Linked DNA regions of Canis lupus familiaris. Each later gene encodes a partner of the first gene's protein in a complex. Links are inferred from orthologs where the notes say so. Each region holds a gene or a part of one and is shown on either strand. Other genes may lie near its edges. The genes, in order: DHX9, IGF2BP1 and HNRNPU.

The links.
Region 2: DHX9 (region 1) and IGF2BP1 share a complex: the UniProt entries of both Homo sapiens proteins name them as parts of the coding region determinant (CRD)-mediated complex. The link is inferred for Canis lupus familiaris from reciprocal best matches to the Homo sapiens genes DHX9 and IGF2BP1.
Region 3: DHX9 (region 1) and HNRNPU share a complex: the UniProt entries of both Homo sapiens proteins name them as parts of the coding region determinant (CRD)-mediated complex. The link is inferred for Canis lupus familiaris from reciprocal best matches to the Homo sapiens genes DHX9 and HNRNPU.

What each region holds. Positions count from the first base shown.
Region 1 is NC_049228.1:16,110,004-16,116,404, forward strand, and holds the start of DHX9 (ATP-dependent RNA helicase A), read left to right. Parts: upstream 1-2,794; 5' UTR 2,795-2,937; intron 2,938-6,401. UniProt on the Homo sapiens protein: Multifunctional ATP-dependent nucleic acid helicase that unwinds DNA and RNA in a 3' to 5' direction and that plays important roles in many processes, such as DNA replication, transcriptional activation, post-transcriptional RNA regulation, mRNA translation and RNA-mediated gene silencing.
Region 2 is NC_049230.1:25,146,819-25,153,202, reverse strand, and holds the start of IGF2BP1 (insulin-like growth factor 2 mRNA-binding protein 1), read right to left. Parts: upstream 3,621-6,384; 5' UTR 3,595-3,620; coding exon 3,420-3,594; intron 2,218-3,419; coding exon 2,157-2,217; intron 1-2,156. UniProt on the Homo sapiens protein: RNA-binding factor that recruits target transcripts to cytoplasmic protein-RNA complexes (mRNPs). This transcript 'caging' into mRNPs allows mRNA transport and transient storage.
Region 3 is NC_049228.1:35,780,674-35,786,344, forward strand, and holds part of HNRNPU (heterogeneous nuclear ribonucleoprotein U), read right to left. Parts: coding exon 5,635-5,671; intron 3,585-5,634; coding exon 3,445-3,584; intron 2,889-3,444; coding exon 2,789-2,888; intron 2,383-2,788; coding exon 2,270-2,382; intron 1,925-2,269; coding exon 1,661-1,924; intron 1,371-1,660; coding exon 1,251-1,370; intron 831-1,250; coding exon 702-830; intron 612-701; coding exon 443-611; intron 206-442; coding exon 1-205. UniProt on the Homo sapiens protein: DNA- and RNA-binding protein involved in several cellular processes such as nuclear chromatin organization, telomere-length regulation, transcription, mRNA alternative splicing and stability, Xist-mediated transcriptional silencing and mitotic cell progression.

The DNA.
Region 1 (6,401 bases):
TTACTCAAATCCCCATCATCAGGAGGATGGATAAACCAATCGTGGATAATAAGATGGGGTACTAATAGCAATTTTTAAAAAAAAAAAGTATGGCTATATTTAACAGCATGCATGAATCTCAAAAGTATTATGTTGAGTGAAATAAGCCAGATGCAAAACAGTACATACTACGTGATTCCACTTTTGTGAAGTTCAGGAACAAGCAAAACTATCATCATAAAAGTCAGAATGGTAGTTTCCTCTGAGACAGGACACAAGATAACCTAGTGGATGATAGGAATGGCTGATATCTGGATTTGGGTGGTAGTTCTATTGGTGTACGTACACACAGGCTAAAAAACAAAAACATGAGGGGCTGTACATTCAAGGGTTGTTCATCTTTACATATGTAAATACTCCAGTTAAAAGAAAGGGACCACAATTAACTGAATTAATTATGTATGAAAATTTGGGGTGAATTCTTTTAGTATAGTCTGTGTATAACTAAAAGCATGGTGACCTGCCAAAACAGTTCACTTCCCTTGAGGGAGTTCAGGAAAGACTTATGCTTGTGACCCACAGTCAAGGGAACCACAGAACTTTCTTATAGGGGATTCACGAAAAATGGATCAGAAGGAATGAAATAAAATGCAAAAACTGTGGCCATCGGCTCTGCTTCCAAGGGAGGAATTTGGATCATATGAAGAAATAACAGCCATTTATTTCCCCACCATCCTCTCCTCCCAAATATCCAGTTATCTGTGTTGCAGACGTTTCCTACTAAGAGCTTAGGTGTTTACCGTAAAGAGTTGCCTTGACCGGTGGTAGAGTTTCCCTTGGAAATGTCTTGTTCTTCAACTGATAATCTTTGGAACTGCCCAGCTGGGAAGATCATGGTGCTCAAGGTACTTTGAGAACACAGACATTGTTCTGTTTCAAACTTTATTCAGCCCTAACTGACTTGACTTGTTACCTCTTTTCCTCCTTACAGGGGAATATAAGAGCCTGCAGTTCTCTTCTCCTGATCCTCACATGGTTATCTTCTTGTCTGCTTTTCAGATGTTGGCTTAAATATTAACTTTTCAGAGATGATATTTTTAACCATCCAGTTTAAAATAGCCACCCAGGCAAATTCTATCTCAGCATTAACATTACATTTAATTCTCTGCATAGCAACTTATTTCCAGTGAATATTTTATTTGCATTCTTTTTTATTGTCTGCTCAAATGCAAGCTTTCATTGAATCTGTGGCTTTATGTCTTCATTGGTTTTAGGTAATACTTCTTCAAATACTGCTTTTTCTCCATTCCATCTCTCCTCCATTATTGAAACTTTAATTAGATGTATACTATATCTTTTCACCATGTTCCATTCATCTTTTAGGTTCTTTCGTGTATTTATCATTTGCTTTTCTCTGCAAGGTCCAACTGGATATTTTCTACTGATCTATTTATTTACCATTAACCAATCCTTTTTCCTGCTATATACAATCTATTAACCCATTAATTAAGTCCGGAATTTTGGTGATTCCATTTTCACTTTTAAAATTTCTATTTGAGGGGATCCCTGGGTGGCGCAGAGGTTTGGCGCCTGCCTTTGTCCCAGAGCGCGATCCTGGAGACCCGGGATTGAGTCCCACGTCGGGCTCCCGGTGCATGGAGCCTGCTTCTCCCTCTGCCTGTGTCTCTGCCTCTCTCTCTGTGTCTCTCATGAATAAATAAATAAAATCTTTAAAAAAAATAAAATAAAATTTCTATTTGATACTTCATATTTATTCCAGTGTTTTCATCTATTCTCTTGAACATACTAATTGTAATTTTTATAAAGTCTCTGATAATTTCAATATCTGAATCATTTATGATCATAGTTCTATTTTTTCCTCTTGATTTTCAGTCATTTGTTTTGTCTCCTGGCTTGCCTGGGGACTTTTTTTTTTATTGAATTTGGGCGATTCTATAAAAAAATTATAGAAATTATAGGTCATTCTGTCTTCCTCTTCTGGCAGAAAGAGAAAGCTAGAGCACTTTGGTCCAACGAGGAAGTGAGATGATTCAAGGCTGGTTTTCATTCACCTGAGTTTGTCCTTGCTTTTAGAATGTACCCCTGCAGGAGGTATCAGATGAAAGTCTGGGCTCTGTGCCTTGGTGAACTCCAGGTTTTGTCTCTCCAGTACCATGAGGCTCCTGAATGCTCTACCTAGCTTTTAGCCTAGGCAGCTTAGGAATCAGCAAATGCATCAAAGTGAAAAGTGACACAAAAGCTCCGATGTGAAAAAAAAATTTTTTTAAAAAGCTCTCATGTTTCCCTTTCCCCAGGATATTAGCTGCCTTGCCTCTAATGCTTCAAATAGCTGTCTTGTTTTGACTTTTTTTTTTTTTTTTTTTGCTTCAGATTTTGGAGTTGCTTTTGGCAAGAGAATTGGTTTGCTAAAAGCTACTCTATCATACACAGAAGTCATCTCCAAATGCAAGCTCTGTGAGAAAAGGATCTCACATCTGTCTTATTTATGGCTATTTCCTAGTACCAATAGTGCCTAGTACCAAAACAAAACAAAACACCCTTCAATAAACATTGATGTTAATTAATGTAAGAACTAAGCCCTATATCTGTCCTTGACATCTATATCATTTACAGCCCTCCGTATCTATCCAAGGGAGTCTAGGGTAGGTAGCACAGCACGGGAAGAATGGGGTCTGGATCTCCTTGGCAACCGGACGCCACGCGCGGGCACGGTAGCCGCGGCCCCGCCCCTCCCCCCCGGGGCGCCCGCGGCCCCGAGCTCGCTCCCTGCGCATGCGTACGCGCGCTGGCCCCGCCCCCCTGGCGCAGCCGTCGGAGCCATTTTCTCCGCCGCCTCCGCGCAAGCTGCGGTGCGTTAAGCGGGCGTCTCTGAGGGAGGCCGCGGCCACGGAGGGTTCTGAGAGGGCTGCGTTCTCGGACACCGGAAGGCGGACGCCGGTAGGGTAGAGACGTCTTTGCCACCCGTTGTGGGGCGCGGGGCCCCGCGCTCCTGCAGCCGGGCTTTGTTGCGAAGCGCGGGCGGCGGTGGCGGGTGGGGGAAGGGGCGAGGCGCCCGCTGGGTTCCCGGATTACGGGCTGCATGCGGCTCGCCGCGCCTCCCCCCGCCTCCCCCCGCCTCCCCCCGCCTCCCCCCGCCTCCCCCTGCCTCCGCTGCCCGGGCCCGTGCGGCGGACCCGTTACCCCCGCCCCCCCACACACCCTCGTCCGCGGCCCCGAGCCCCACGTTCTCCCGCGGCCTGCACGCCGTGCTTGCTCTTGGCGGGATCGCGGGGCTGGCGAGGCCGCCGTGACGCCGCACACGCCCGAGGCCCTTCATCCATTCATTTCGGCCACAAAGACCGGGCGCTGTCCTGCGGGTGCGGTGGCGGGGCGGTGAGCACGTGGGGGCGCAGTCCCTCCCTCTTCCGCGGGGAGGTTTCGGCGGTGGGAGGAGGCTCCGGCAACACCAGCGTCTGCAGGCTGCGGTCAGAAGCTTGAGAAAATGGAAGGTCGTCGAGGGAGAAGGCTGGTTTCACCCGGGCGGCCGGGGGGAGAGCGGACTTCCCGAGCGGATGAGGTCGAGGATGCGTCAGCTCCGAGATGCGGGATCAGTTAGCGCTTGAGAGCGGGAGTTGGGGAAGAAACGGCGAGGAGGCCCTGTTACCTAGAGCGTATTTTGAAGGGTGAAGAGAATGGATTTCAGGACGGTCAGCGTGAAAAACGGCGATTTAGATACCTAGATCCAGGGCGTGATTGCAGGAGGCCGGGGGGTGCGGCAGTGGTGGCAGCGGACGGACGGACGGACGGACGGACGGACAGACGCGCAGGGGGTGCAAAGCTGGTTTTGGAGGCGGAATGGCGTGTAGGTCAGGAGCCCGCCTGCCGGGCCTGGAAGTCTGGCTCCTCCCAGCTGAGAGAGCTCTTGTCTTCTCTGGGGCGAAGGATTTGGGGATTTTTGTGGGGTTTTTTTGTTTTGTTTTGTTTTTGTCTCAGTTTATTAAACGGGGAGAATAAGTATTCTCATCTGCATAATTATTGTAAGGGTTTAGGAAAAGTCGTTTACGTGTAGATGATCCCCTAAGGCTTTACTGACTGGTGTGCAAACGGAGAGTCCTCCAAGGGATGGCTGTGGAGGGCATTATTAAGGGAGCGTAGGACTCCCAGCTTGTGACGGGGGTAACTTGGCGGTGCCATTTCAGGAGGTGGAAACACTTGGACTGCGGGGAGGAAGGGTCAGGTGTGGAAAGGAAACGTCTGTTTTTACTGAGATGTCAGGTTAGCGTTTGCACATGAGCGCCGTAGTTGGATGATACTTGATTTTGGAGCTTTGAAAAGACTATTTCAATATATGTTTGGGCACGATCAGCATATAGTTGATAATTGAGTATAGTGGCGTTCGTTGAGACTGCCTAAGGAAGGAATTTGATAGTGTAGTCTTTCATATTTCATGGTACTCCTTCACCCTGAGGTTCTTGTTTTTTGGTTTTGTTTTGTTTTTTGTTTGTTTGTTTGTTTTAGTTGATTATTCAGGGGTGGAATTTACAGATGGACATCGGGAGCTTTCCACCGCTTTTCGGTCAATAGGATTTACCCAGGTTAACCTGTGGCTACAGAATAACCTTATACTAGGGTCCAGTTTCATGACGTTAGATTTAGGTGCTAACAAAATGCACTGAACAGAAGAAGTAATAGGGTTTCTTCTCACACACAAACTATTTTTTTTTTTTTGCATATCTTTTCCAGATTAAGTTTGGTCTTAGATATCTTGCCTTTTTTTTTAATACTTATTATTTATTTTGAGAGAGAGCACGCACGCACATATGTGCAATGAGGAGCAGAGGGAGGGGGAAAGAGAATCTCCAGCAGACTCCTTGTTGAGCTCAGAGCCCACCCAGGGCTCTATCCCAAGACCCTGATTGTGGCCCTAGCCGAAATCAAGAGTCAGAGGCTTAATTGAGCCACCCAGGCATCCTTCATATATCTTGCTTTTGATTTAGATTCAGATTTTTTTTTTAAAGATTTTATTTATTTATTCATGAGAGACACAGAGAGAGAGAGAGAGAGAGGCACAGACACGGGAAGAGGGAGAAGCAGGCTCCAAGCAGGGAACCCGACGTAGGACTCGATCCGCAGGACTCAATCCGGGGACTCCATGATCATGGCCTGGGCCAAACGCAGGTGCTCAACTGCTGAGCCACCCAGGCATCCCTAGATTCAGATTTTAGACTCATAGGCTCCATATCATTTGGTGTATTTATAAACTAGTTTAGAGGGAGAGTGCCAACAAGTATGGTATGGTGCATATCAAGAAAACTTAGTATCCTCAAATTATAATGAATAAAAAGGCCTAAAGGAGAGATTGGGTGCTTAACAGATTAGTATTTTTATTATTTTTTAAGATTTTATTTATTTATTCATAGAGACACAGAGAGAGAGAGAGACAGAGACACAGGCAGAGGGAGAAGCTGGCACCATACAGAGAGCCTGACGTGGGACTGGATCCAGGGTCTCCAGGATCATGCCCTGGGCTGCAGGCGGCGCTAAACTGCTGCGCCACCGGGGCTGCCCCAGATTAGTGTTTTTAGTCTAAGTACTGAATACTTGGTGTATTTGGACTTAGTAGTGTGATACATAACCTACAACTTTGAGGACAGTCTGCTAGGAGACACCTCAGAATGAGAATAAACACTCTGATTTACACACAACATGATAGATGACCGTTTCTTAATCTTGTAGTTTTAATTTATGCCTCCACAGTGGGTGATTTGGAAGTTAAACTTTCTATTGCCTTGTTTCTTCCTTTGTATAGAGGTGATAATAGTATAGTATTTACCATATAATTATCTCCCATTGTTTGAGGGTTAAATGAGTTAAAACACATAAGGTGCCTATTGTAAAAAGGAGGACATTACCTAAAATTTTTTTTAAAGATTCATTCGAGAGAGCACATGCCCATGCACGAGTGGGGGAGGGGCAGAGAGCATCCTCAAGTCGACTCTGTCCATTGCCCAAACAGAGCCTGATGCAGAGCCCAGCCCCAGGACCCTGAGATCATGACCCCAGCTGAAATCCAGAATCACCTGCTCATCTGACTGAGCTATCCAGAGACCTCATAAAATGTTTTTAAGGAAAGGTCAAGGGTACTTGGGTGGTGAAATAGAGACCTTTTACAGGTTCCGTGCTGGCTTGGAACCTGCTTAAAATTATCTCTCTTCCTCTCTCAGAATAAAAAGGGCGATTTAGAATCACTTGTAGTCACTCAAAGGTAACCATTTTGAAGGACATTTCTTTTTCGGTCTTGATTTATGCATATATCCTTTTATATAGTGCAAATTGTGTAGTTTTATATCCTGTCTTTCATATAACATGTTGTAGGCTTTCCAACTATGTCATTAAAATTTTGTCATAGGCAATTTTAATAG
Region 2 (6,384 bases), on another chromosome or scaffold:
AATATTAGTCATAGTTAATTAACTAGTTCCTGGTCTATATATCCATGAGATTGAAAAAGCCAGGAACAGACCAACTAAAGAAAGTTTTCAGACAGACTGAGAACACATACCACAAAATGCTTCCTTCAAAGAACACAAAATGATAGAGCAAACTGACTTCATGAAAACAAACTTTTTTTAAAATCCTCAAACTTCAAAAATTGATTCATTCTAGAAAAATGAAGTGCCTTCTCAACCACCCCACAAACACACACACACACACACACACACAACTAACTCAGTGTGCTCAAAAAATTATTTCAGGGCAGGAGAGAGAACACACAAAAGATGGAATTTAATATGGATGTGGAAAGGAAGATTTTGTTCCCACTCTTACAAATCCCACCCCTTCCTAACTCAAAAGCGCCCTAAGTCATGCATTTTGGAGGGAACAAGAAGGAGCCTAAAAATGGCTTGAAAGCAAGCAGATGGCTTAGGGGGAAAAGATCCATAAATACAGAGCACCATGGAAATTAAAATATAAATGTTTGGGGTCCCATTTCATCACATTTTGCAATTTCTCTTGCTTTCACTTCATTCCCTTTAAAATTTAAACCATCCAGAAGAGCAAAAGGGAAAAAAAAAATCCCACGTCAGAATTCCAGTTATTCTGGACATTTCTCATCAACATATTTCAAACGCTGAGCTTTTAGCTCAAATATCCAGTTTTCTCAATAAATCCACTGGTGTCAGTATGTTTCTCTCATTCCCATCTCCAGGAAATGTTTCAAAATAATAAATAAGACTTTTTCTCTTCCTTCCGATTTTATTGCCTCTTTACTACTAACTCTAATTGCCTTTCCAATAAGAGTATTTGAAGCATTTGAGGTTAAATCACAGGCTCTATAAACATAGTTACAAGCCATATTGATCATCTATAGATACAATAGTTCCAAGTTACTTAAAATATCTCAAGCTAAACCTACTGGACCGATTTTTATCTCACTTATACTTTACAGTTAAAACTTCACAGGCTCAAAAAAAAACCAAACAAAACCCAAAAAACTGCCACCCACCTCCACTTTCCCACCCAGAAAAAGCCAGGATTATTCTAAATGCAGCAAGTTTCTAGTTGAAATGAGAGGGAGAACACACCTAGGGAGGGGATGGGGGAGAGAACCGGAGGATCAAAGATTTCCTGGGAGCAGCAACAGGAGGGAAAACTCTTCACTGTCAACATGTTTAAAGTCAGATTTGAGAAAGCAGAAACTCTGCCCCTATACTTCCCAGCCAGAGTTCAATGAAAGATCTGAAAGCCACCATGAACCAGATTTAGGGATACCATGATAGAGATACCCCACTTTGCTTAAATGAGTAGGAAGGTATTGGGACACACATACACACACTCACTCTGTCTCACTCAATCTCCCTCTCTCACAATTCATCCAGGGAGTTCTAGACCCTCCAAAGAGCCCCAGCTCACAGCCTGAACACAAAGCTCTCACCCCAGATGGTCCCCTTATAACAATGGACTGAAGGAGTGGGGGTAGGGGGGCTCGGAAAGGATCGCACAGCCAAAGCATATTCTTTGCAAAATCCAGTTGGGAGGGGAGGGCGTGTGATGTGAAGGGCTAGGGCTAGGGGTCTGGAAAAAAAAATGCCCTTGCCTGTTGCAGAAATACACATATAACACAAGCATAAGGGAATTCTTTTGGGGGCAGGAATTCATTTTACTTCTCCTAGGAAGTCAAAGGGATCCCCCCACCCCCATCCACTTAAGAATTATGCTAAAGGACGGGTTGGGGAAAAAAAAAAGGAGGCCTGCTAGAAGTTGCAGAAATGTCGAGTTGCAACTCTTCAAAGATTTTTAGCTTCCCACAAAAATGGCCCCACACACCTTGAACAAACTCCACAAGGTTTTTCTATTGATTTTTTTTGCCTTTTACTTCTCCAAATACCATCTCTCAGCCCACCCCAACCCCAGCTTATTTTTTACAAGCTGTAAACCACCCATTACAAGATCTTAGCCAATCTTCCCTCCCTGCCCCCAACATCCGGAGTTGGGGGTGGGAAGGCCAGTAATGGGTTTCTTCCACTGGAGACACTATGGACCCCTTAACACAACCTCTAAGCGCCCCCAGGTTGCCTCCCTTCTTCGTCGAAGAGCCCTTTCCTACCTTTGTTTTTTGGGGACCGAGTGTTCAATCTCTAGGCGTTTCCCTTGCAATTCGACTTTCCCTAAAGATTAAAAAAAAAAAAAAAAAGACAATATAAGATCTTGAACAGGGGTGTGGGGTGGGAAAAGGATAAAGAGGGTAATTCAGGAGTTACTGTGATCAGAGATCTGCCTAGGAATCCAGGCAGTGGGTTCCGTGGCCGGACGCGAAACGGTCGCGCTGGGAATGGTGGAAATCTATAAATTCGTTATTGTGTTTTGTTAATTTTCGTTTTGTTCTGTTCTCTCGCCGAGGTCACTTGGGTCGTGGATGGCTGCGGGCGCCCGATCTGGGAGGCGGGGGGCGGCCGGGGCGTGGGTGGGGGCGGGCTGCCTCTCGGCCCCCGGAGGTGGGGAGCAGGGGCCGGGGAGAGAAAGGGCTCCTCGGTGCTCCCAAAGTGCGTTGCGGGGGAGGGGTGCAGCACGAAACTTTAGTTCCCCGTGCGGCCGCAGAGAAGGGCTCCGGGCGGCGAGGCGCTCACCTGTCGGGGCCGGTGGCGGGCCGAGGCCCTGGGGGAGCGGAGCGGGGCCCCGCGGGGAGGGTCCCCGGCGGCCGCGGCGCGCGCCTCTCGGCCCAGCCTGGGCGTCTCGGGAAGCAGCATGGCGACCCGCCGCCGCCGCCGCCGCGCCACCCCGCTCACGCCCCACTTTCAAATCAAAATGGCTCAAGCCCAGGCCCAGGGCGGGAGGCGGGACCCCCCTTCCTCTCCGGTCCCGCCCGAAGGCTGCCGTCCCACTGGGAACCGGGGAGCTCGGGGACGGCGCGGGGACCTCTTCCCCGCCCGGAAAGGCCTAGGGCCGAGGAGAGGGAGCTGGGGGTGGGTGGGGGTGGGTGGGGGGTGGTGTTCGCGTGGGGGGCGGGGGCGGGGGTCCGGCCTCGGGTACACGGGGGTGCAGGGGAATAACGCCCCAGACGGGGGCCGCCCGAGTGGGAACCCCCACAGACACACCGCCAGTGGGGCCCCCGCCCCGTCGGTGGGGGGCAGGGGCGGCCTTCCGAAAGCCTCCGGCCTCCGCTCGGGCTGGGAGGAAAGGGTGAGGGGGTCCGGGCTATTTCCGCGCGGGGGGCGCGGGGGGACGCAGGGGGCGTCGAAAGAGGCGGGCGGAGGGTCGATGGCGAGGCCAAGCGGCGCAGGCCGGGGACAGAGAGGAGTTGGCGGGCAGGGAGCCGGGGAGGGCCGGGGGCGTCGTGCTGGCTTCTGCGGGGAGGTGGGCGCGCTCTTACCGGAGAAAGTTTCGATGGCCTTCATTGCCCAGTGCTCGTCGGGGCAGTCCACGAAGGCATAGCCCGATTTGACCAAGAACTGGCCGCTGTAGGAGATCTTGTGCTCCGCAAACACTTTCTCCAAGTCCGCGGGGGTCACGCTCTCGTTGAGGTTGCCGATGTACAGCTTGTTCATGGTGGCGGTGTCGGGGCGGGACGCGGTCCCTTGGCAAGGCCGAGCGGGCGGGCGCGGGCGCGGGCGGCGAGCCTCCTAGGCCGAGAGGCGGGAGGCCGGCGGCGGCAGCCGCAAACTTTCTTTGCACCCCACCCCTGAAGTTGTCCGGAGCCCGCGGCGCGGAGGGCGGCCTGAGGGCGCGCAGAGGTCGCGGGAGAGTTCGGGGAGGCCCGGGAGAAGTGCCCGCGGCGCGCTGGGAGGCGGACGACGCGGCGCTGCTCCTTCCCTTCTGTCCGAAACCCCTCCGAGCGGGCTGGTGTGTCACGTTTCTCCGCGGCCGCCCTGGCGCCGCCTCTAAATAAAATCGACTTGAAAAAAAATGGAGCGGAAAAAAAAAAAAAAAAAAGGGCGAAGCCACGTGGTGAAAGCCCCCACCCACCCGGCTCGGGAAGACCCCCGACGCCTCTGGGCCCACCGGCCCTCCGGCCGGGCCCAGCCCACCGATCTCCAGCCCCGGGTGGGAAGGGAGGGGGCACTCAACCCCCCCCCACCCCGGGCGGGGAACTGGGCGGTGGGGGCTGCGTTCCCGAAGCTCTAATTGCCCCCTCCCCCTTGGCAAGAATCTGGCCCCTAGGGAGGCGCCCCGCCCCCACCCATCCCCCTACCCCGGGCCCGGCTGGGGGAGGGCGGTCGGGCCCAGAATCTCCCACCTCTTTATGGGTGAAATGTGCGGTTATTTTTTATTCGTGTGGGGGTCGGGGCGGGGGTGGGGGGCGAGAGTTTCCCCACCCTACCCCGGTTAACTGCTAGCGACTGACAGGCGGGGAACGGCCGAGATAGACAAAGAGAAGCCGAGGACTCTGGGGTCTCCAGGCGGGGGTCGCGCAAGCCGGTGATTTTTAAAGAAAGGCGCTCTTCCCCTAGATTTTTTAGTGAGGGGTCTCGGCCTCGCCCGCCCCGGCCCCGGGAGACTCCCCTGCCTCCGGGAATCCGGCACCGAAGGACCCTGCGAGCGCGGGACCGGGAAGCTGGGAACACGGGGGACCGCGGCCGGGAAGCAGGGCTCCGCAGGAAACCGCGTTTCGGGGTTCCCACGGGAGAAGGAAGGGTGGCTCGCCCCCGGGGCTCGGCTGCCCAACGACACCGTCCCGGGGTCCTGGGGGGACGCGCGGCTCCGGCCCAAGCTGACCCCAGGAGAGAGGGAGGGGTGAAGGGGAGGAGGAGGAGTGGTAGCGGGAGCAGACCCGAGCGGACCGCAGAGGGGACGTCTCCGGGAGGGAGTGACCGGGCGGAGATCCGAACGCTCCCCGTCTCCCTCCCGGGCGCGGGGGCAGACAGGTGGAGTCCCCTCCCGCCCGCCCCACCCAGCCCGGCGACCGCGGCTCTCGCGGCGCCGGGTTCGGGGCTCGGAACTTTGTTTGGGGCGCAGCGTTCGGATCCGGGCGGGAAGGCGGGAGAGGGGCCGGGGGCGGGGGGCCGAGCGCCGAGGCCCCGCCCACGTCCCCAGGTCAGACCCGCGGGGGGAGGGGGTAATTTCCGCTCGGCGCTCGGGGAAGCGAGGGGCGGGAGCTTCGGGGAGGGGGCGGCGGCCCCTCCCCCGCCCGTTCCCGGGGAGGGGGAAGCGGATCCGCCCTGGTCCCTTTCCTCGCCTTTGACCAACTCGCTCCGGATCCTCCGGCCCCGGGAGCCCGAGGGACGGACCCGACTGGGCAAGGGGCGACACGTGGGCGGGCGCACCCCGTCTCGGCGGTGGGGGAGGGGGCCGTCCGCCGCGCGTTTCGGAGTCCGGGAGAGGCGGCGGAGAGCGGGACGCGCGGTCCACGCGCAACCAGGATCCCGGGCCGAGTGGCGGGCGAGGGCAACGAGTTTCCAGTGGAGGGGGCTGGGCCGGCGCCGGGGGGCGGGGGGTGGCGGGGAGCGCGGCCCGGGGACCCCGGAGCTCCCCTGCCCGGGGGCGGGGGGCGGAGGGGGTGGACCCCCAGTAATGCCAGACTCTCCCTGGACTGGGCGGAAGCTCGGGTTTTGCTCTGGCTTGTGCGGGTGGGAGAAACAATTCTGTCGGGGGCACGCGTGCTGCGAGGGCAGGTGAGGAAGGGGGTCACTCTCCCTTTCCCCGTCCCCGACCCCATTGTCTCAGTCGCCTGCGGCCCGGGCCGACTCCGCAACACGTGTTGGCTGCACTGATATGAATGCCTTGGATTTTTTTTCCTTGTTATTATTTTTTTGTTTGCAGAGTCAGGGAGCTGACTCCCGACTTGGGCGCACCGCTCCTCTGCCAGACGATTTTTATACCGTTCAAAAAGTCGGGAGTTAAAAGACCACACGCCGCACCTTTGTCCCCCTCCCGGTTTTCCCCGCGCGCTGCAAAGAAACGGGGCTTGGGCGTGGGGGGAGGGCTTCCAACTCGGTTTCTCCATCTCCACCACCTTCAAAACCCACTCTCCAAATCCGCGTTTTGTTCTAGCCAGCCACGTGTTTGTTGGATTTGGGGGCTTGTGATTTTTTTTTTTTTTCTTTGCATGGGGCAACAGAAAATACTATGAGCTGTTAGTTGCTGAGTAGAAAAAGAATGTTTTCTCTGCAAGAAGGTGGGCGACATCTGGATCCCACCCCCCACACCTCCTGCGACCCCCTCCCCACCGTTTCTGACTCTCAATATTTAGTCAGCTCTTAGACCATAATTTTCACACAAACCAACGAGCTGGAAACGGTGTCTGCCACATAGTAGGCATTCAGTAAACATTTTTTTAAATGAAAAAAAAAAAACAGCTAATACAAACTGCAGAGCAAAGAGAATTCAGAGGAAAATTC
Region 3 (5,671 bases), about 20 Mb from region 1:
TGGCCGCCACCCCTGTTGAACTGGTTCTTGCCACTCTTGTTTTTATTGCTCTTCTTTGAACCAGTGTTCTGTTTCTTTTCTGGTGGGAGAGCCTTTTTGCTTTCCTCCTTGTATTGCTCCAAAAGTTTCTGGGCTTCCTCCTTTTGCAGTTCAACATAGGTTATTTCATCAAAGCACTCGGCTACCTCTGGCAGCGTGAAGTTTCCTACAAGGAGTAAGACCAGATTAGCTAAAACCTCACAACTCCCACAACTTTGAAGCCTAAACTGAGTGGCTTTGATTCTTTGAAACCCACACTGTGCTGCCTGCTCAGCTTTACAAACACTTTTCCTAAAAACAGAAATAAACCAAAAATGTTCATTTCCATTGAAGATAATCTGAACCGACAGTAGTTCATGGACACAAAAAAGATTTAACACAGTAACAAAACTAAATTTCATGCCTTTCATTTTGAGGACCGCGTGTTCTGGTAGGTCTTTGCCCTCTACTTCTGCCTTCTTCTGCGTTCTTTGCTTGTAGTCTTCATCTTTCGGGCAAACTACAACAGCTTTTCGTTGGAAGCCTGCAAACAGGCACATTTTTCTCCTCTGGGCAGCAGCAGACACATTTGTCTTGAAAACAAAGTTTGATAACCCAAATATTAGCTCCACATGAAACCCCACAATCCATTCTTTTTTTCCAACCTCAAAGATACAGTTTACCTGATCCAGAATGAAATTTCGTTTCTTGCGGGCAGCAATCTCAATAAACTTCCCAAGACACTGGGGAGCTCTCTGCAACAGTGTGTTCAATTTTCCAGTATCAGCCATCTGCTTCTTAAACCCCGCCACCTGTTTTAAAAGTTAAAAAAGTTCCTTTGAACTTGTGGATGAAACTTAGGCTTTTTTAGTATCAGCTTAGATCTATGCAGAAATCAGACATTTTCAAATTTAAATAGTCCCTTTCCTCATCATTATGATGAATCACTTAACCATGTCACAAAATCCTCTGCTATTCAGTTCTTTCTTAGCTACTAATTGCTTAGTAGTTCAAAAAATTTTACAGAAAAAAATAAAGCCTAGCCAGTGGAAGGCACTTCACCTTACACATACATGCAGTTTACCTTACATCCTCCTACTTTAACCAAGATAACTTGGCCAAACTCTAAAACAGAAACACAAAATGCATAAAGGCAACAGGCAAAAAAGTTGGAGTATCTTCTGGTCTTTTCAAAGTGCTGAGAACACACAATAAATACATACTTTACTTACCATCATCTTATCCATTATGGTGTTTGTTCCAAGAATGTTGTATTTACCAGGATTTTCTGCTGCATGTTTAGTAACCCAGGTGGTTTTCCCAGCTCCAGGCAAGCCAATCATCATAACCACCTAGAGTAAGAAAAAACAGTATTTCACTTATCACCAGAGCCATCTAAGAATTCCCTACGTGTTTTTTTTTTTTAAAGCAAAAGAGCCCGGTTTAGATTTTCATTGCCCTAAAAGCAAAGGGAAGTTTTAGAAACTCAATACTATATAAAGAACACAGCTACTAAGAGAAAAATCACTGGCTGTAACAATCATGGCAGAATCAAACAGATTAATCATCCAGAACTTCCAAGTGTAATTTTTGCCAAACAAAAGTATTCTTCAAATGCTTAAGGAAAAAACATTTTACTTACCTCACAATCTTTCTTCTCTTCAGGCCCCTTTGGTCCTCTAACTCGATCCTCTAAGGGGACATTCTGGATAAAAGTATAATCTTCCGGTATTGGAAAATATGGCTTTTCCTTCTGACCAAAATTAAATTCAACTGCACAGTTGTGGCAGAGAACATGCGGGAAGAGTGGCCTTCCAGCAAGAATTTCCTTACTGATTTTGAAGGCAACACCAAGATCCTGTCCATTCTTTGCATAGGAGAGTTCTACTTCATCACTTTCAAAGTTCTGTTAAGTAGGAAAAAAATTAAGTTTTAATCTGCCTCCTTTAAACTTCCTTAAAAAAAAAAAAAACAAAACTCAAAATTGAAAGGAATGAAGCTCATCCAATAAAAAATGTATTTATAAGTTAAATGTTAGGAGCTTTGTAACACTTATGAAGACTAAAACATTTGTATCTAGAAGCAGAAACAATGCTGCCTTCATAAACAGACTAGATTTTCAGGCCAACTTCATGTTAAGTAGTTTTCAGGGGGAACAGGTTAGTATTGAAGGCAGAGGATATAACTTAAAAAAAATTCTAATTAATAATGCTCACTTTTAAAATAGAAATTTGGGTGACTTATGACTTACAGCAAAACATGTAATCACATCATTTTCATCAAATTTCTCTCCATAATCTTCAGTCTCACAATTGCATGTTTTTATTCCTTTAAGAGAATACCCATAAGAAAATTCTTCTTCACCTAAGAAAATAAATTTAACTTTCATGAAATCGATTGTTCAAAACAGTCCAATGACCCACATATTTTAATATTCAAGATACAATCAAGAGAAAGGAGTACATAACCTAACATTCTTCCACTTACACTTTACCTAGATGTAGAAAATTGAGAGCTAGGTGGGTTATATAACTATCTTAAAAATTGCACATCATGGGATAGTGGCTTTTAACCACTGGTCATAAAATAAGTAACCAAAAAGGGGAGAGAAAAAAAAACCCTCAAGTCAGTTGATACATGCTAGTTATCATTCACAACTAAAATAACAAAACGGATTAAAAACAGGCAGGTTTAGAAAGCCTCCTAGTCTAACTACTGAAATCAGACCCTAAACACACATGAGCACATACTACTCAAATGGAAACTTTACCAAGCAACATTCCACTTGTGGTTAGTGACCAGCCAATCCGAACTTCATGTATGTCAATATCTTTTGTATATAAATGCCTTACTGGGATCTTCTCTGTAACCTGAAAAATCAAATCATAAATGATTACAAAGAAGATAAACCCCTGACCCCTTGTTTACTTCATCTGGGCTGTGGGCTAATTCTTCTCTACTAACAGGAAGAGACCCATTCTACCTCACCATCTCTCCCCTACATTTACAAGAACTTTAAAAATTGACAGAAGAGCTTGGAACTTGAGCCGAAAACATTCAAGTCCTTGATCGACTCACATTTAAAAGAACTGTTAAAGTTCAAAGATTACAGATTCTTGACTCAAAAACCAATTAAAGTATACATTCAACCTGTTTTGCTATGGAACGAAACCCAAAGCTTAAATCAAATTATTTTTAAACCCTTCATGGGCTTTTCAAGTGCTTGATAAGAGTAACCTAAATAAAGACAGGCTGACCCTACAATAGAAATTACTAATGTAACAGATATAGTTAACTGTCATAAAAGAAAGGTTTTTCCAAGTCTCTTTCAATCCACAGAAACTTCAAAGATAAAAAGTTCCAATGACACTATGAAGTGTCAGGCAAATGGTAACTCAGAGGTTCTTAAAAAAAAACTGCTTTTACCTTCATCTCAAAACAGACTTTGCCTTTTGACACACCATAAGATGCCCTTCCTCCAGCCCAAAGAAAAGCAAAACTCTCCATAGTGAGGGAAGAAGCACTGAGGCGGTCTCTTGATATTTTAAAATGTAGATCACAATTATCTGTAATTATATCAAATACCATATTATTTCTTTTGACATCCAATGCAAATATATCTGCTACATCAACAAAACCTGGTTATTATATTCTTGCATATTTCCTAAAGCTGCATTGGGACACACTGCTTCTACAGATCATGCTGCTGATCTTCACTTTAGGCCCCACACCCACCAAGTCACTCTCACCAAATTATGAACTAAAGTGTAAACTGCCTACAAAACCAAAACACCAAATTTAACGTGTATTCTAAGTATATAAAATAATCAAGACAATGTGACATGGGATACATACCTGCTCTGCTCTTTACCTTGATTTAGAGGCAAGCAGTAGAGGATAGCAGGAAATCAAAGTGAAGCATGCCAGAACCAGGTAGAATTTACCAGTGCCACAATAAAACTGAAGGGAGGCCATGACCACACACTTTAAATACAGGAGTGTGAGCTGTTTGTTGATCCTGTGCTTTGTGATTTTAAAACACCAGGGGCTCTAGACCCTAAGTTCTCACACTGTGAAGAAGGCAGCCTCAACCTAGCCAAATGCAAACCTGCTTGTCGGACACTGTTAATATTACAGCATTTTAGCTCCCTTTTCCCCAGGCCAGAGGGTCAGTCAATAACAACGGAGGATTATCCCTTCGAGGATTACCCAAATCCCAAAGAAAGGTCCTTAACCTAGCTATCTTTGGGTCAGTGGCTCATTAGCATGCACCTTCTTGGAGTTTGCATCACAAGTTAAAAACCCGTTTTCTTATGCTTTTATTGATGACAGGAAATTAGATCTACAGCTTGGGATTCTCCTTAAATGAGCTTAGCTCTCAAGAATACTGACAGAATTTTCAATTCGACCAACTGTGTTTGAACCCAATATAGATAGCAACAAATTAAGTTGATGTTCCTAGGTAATCAGCTAAAACCCCATCTACTTGGGCGGTAGCGTCACTTCTGGAAGCACTGCTTCACTATCTTGCCAATTCCAACTTAGTCATATTTAAAAGCAATGGAACTATTTAAAATAAAACTCTCACATCAAAGATTTTTCCACGTGCAGTTTTCTTTTCTTTTAAAAGATTCCCTTAGCTCAACTACCTGTTAAGGGTATTTAATACGAACTCAAGAGTTAACATTTACATTCTCACAAATCTTGCTAAAAATAATTTGTATTGGAAAACACGGAAATCTAAACTTTAACTCCCTAGATCTATGGGGCAGGTTCACACCTGACCACCTACTTAGCAAGCCATTATTTCTAAGCTCTATTTATCAAAGTGAAAGAGCTGTGCATTCTGATCAAATACTGAACAAAGTATTTTTATGCAAAATTACATATCTGACAGCCAAGGCCCATTTAGAGGTTTGCAATACTTCCTCATACTCAATTGCAACCCAACTGGGTAAAGTAGCAGTATTTACAGCGCTGCCATTGATACCATTCGCTGCTGAAGAAAGCTAGTAGCCCAGTGATAGCCCACTGCTGCTGCCCCAGGTCTTTGGAAGAAATCAACTTATGTTAAAGCAGCAGCTACTGAACTGGAATTGAGAACAAAAGAGCAGTTATTGAAAAAGTAATATTACAATCTTTTAGAATAGGGAATATACTTGTGTGCTAATGGGAAAAAATCATTAATACGTATTTAACTAGCCCAAATAGCTCACTTAATAAAATGCTACCAAAAAAATTAAATTACTTTATCGTAGGAGCCTAAAAGGACAAGTTACAGGTTGTCTTACAAGTTTCCATTAGCTAACTAAACCAAAAATTGCCATTAATTTTACATTCCTATAAATGAGAACTTTCTAATCATATAAAAAATAACACCAAATTGCTGGAGCCTATAAAATTATCAATACGACACAATTGATGCTGTATTAGACATTTAGCTACCAGAATCTGAATAAAACCTTTCGTCTCCCTCCTTTAAAAAAGGTAAACGGTTTACGCTAAGTATTCTGCATTTAAATTCAGCACACTGCGTTTAAGTTCTCTAACATTTTGGCACCAAAATCGCCACATTTAGTAACCGGGGGAGAAAAGGGAAGAAACAGCTTCACTTACAAGTATCAAGACAAACCACTGTGTCATCGAAGTGCTC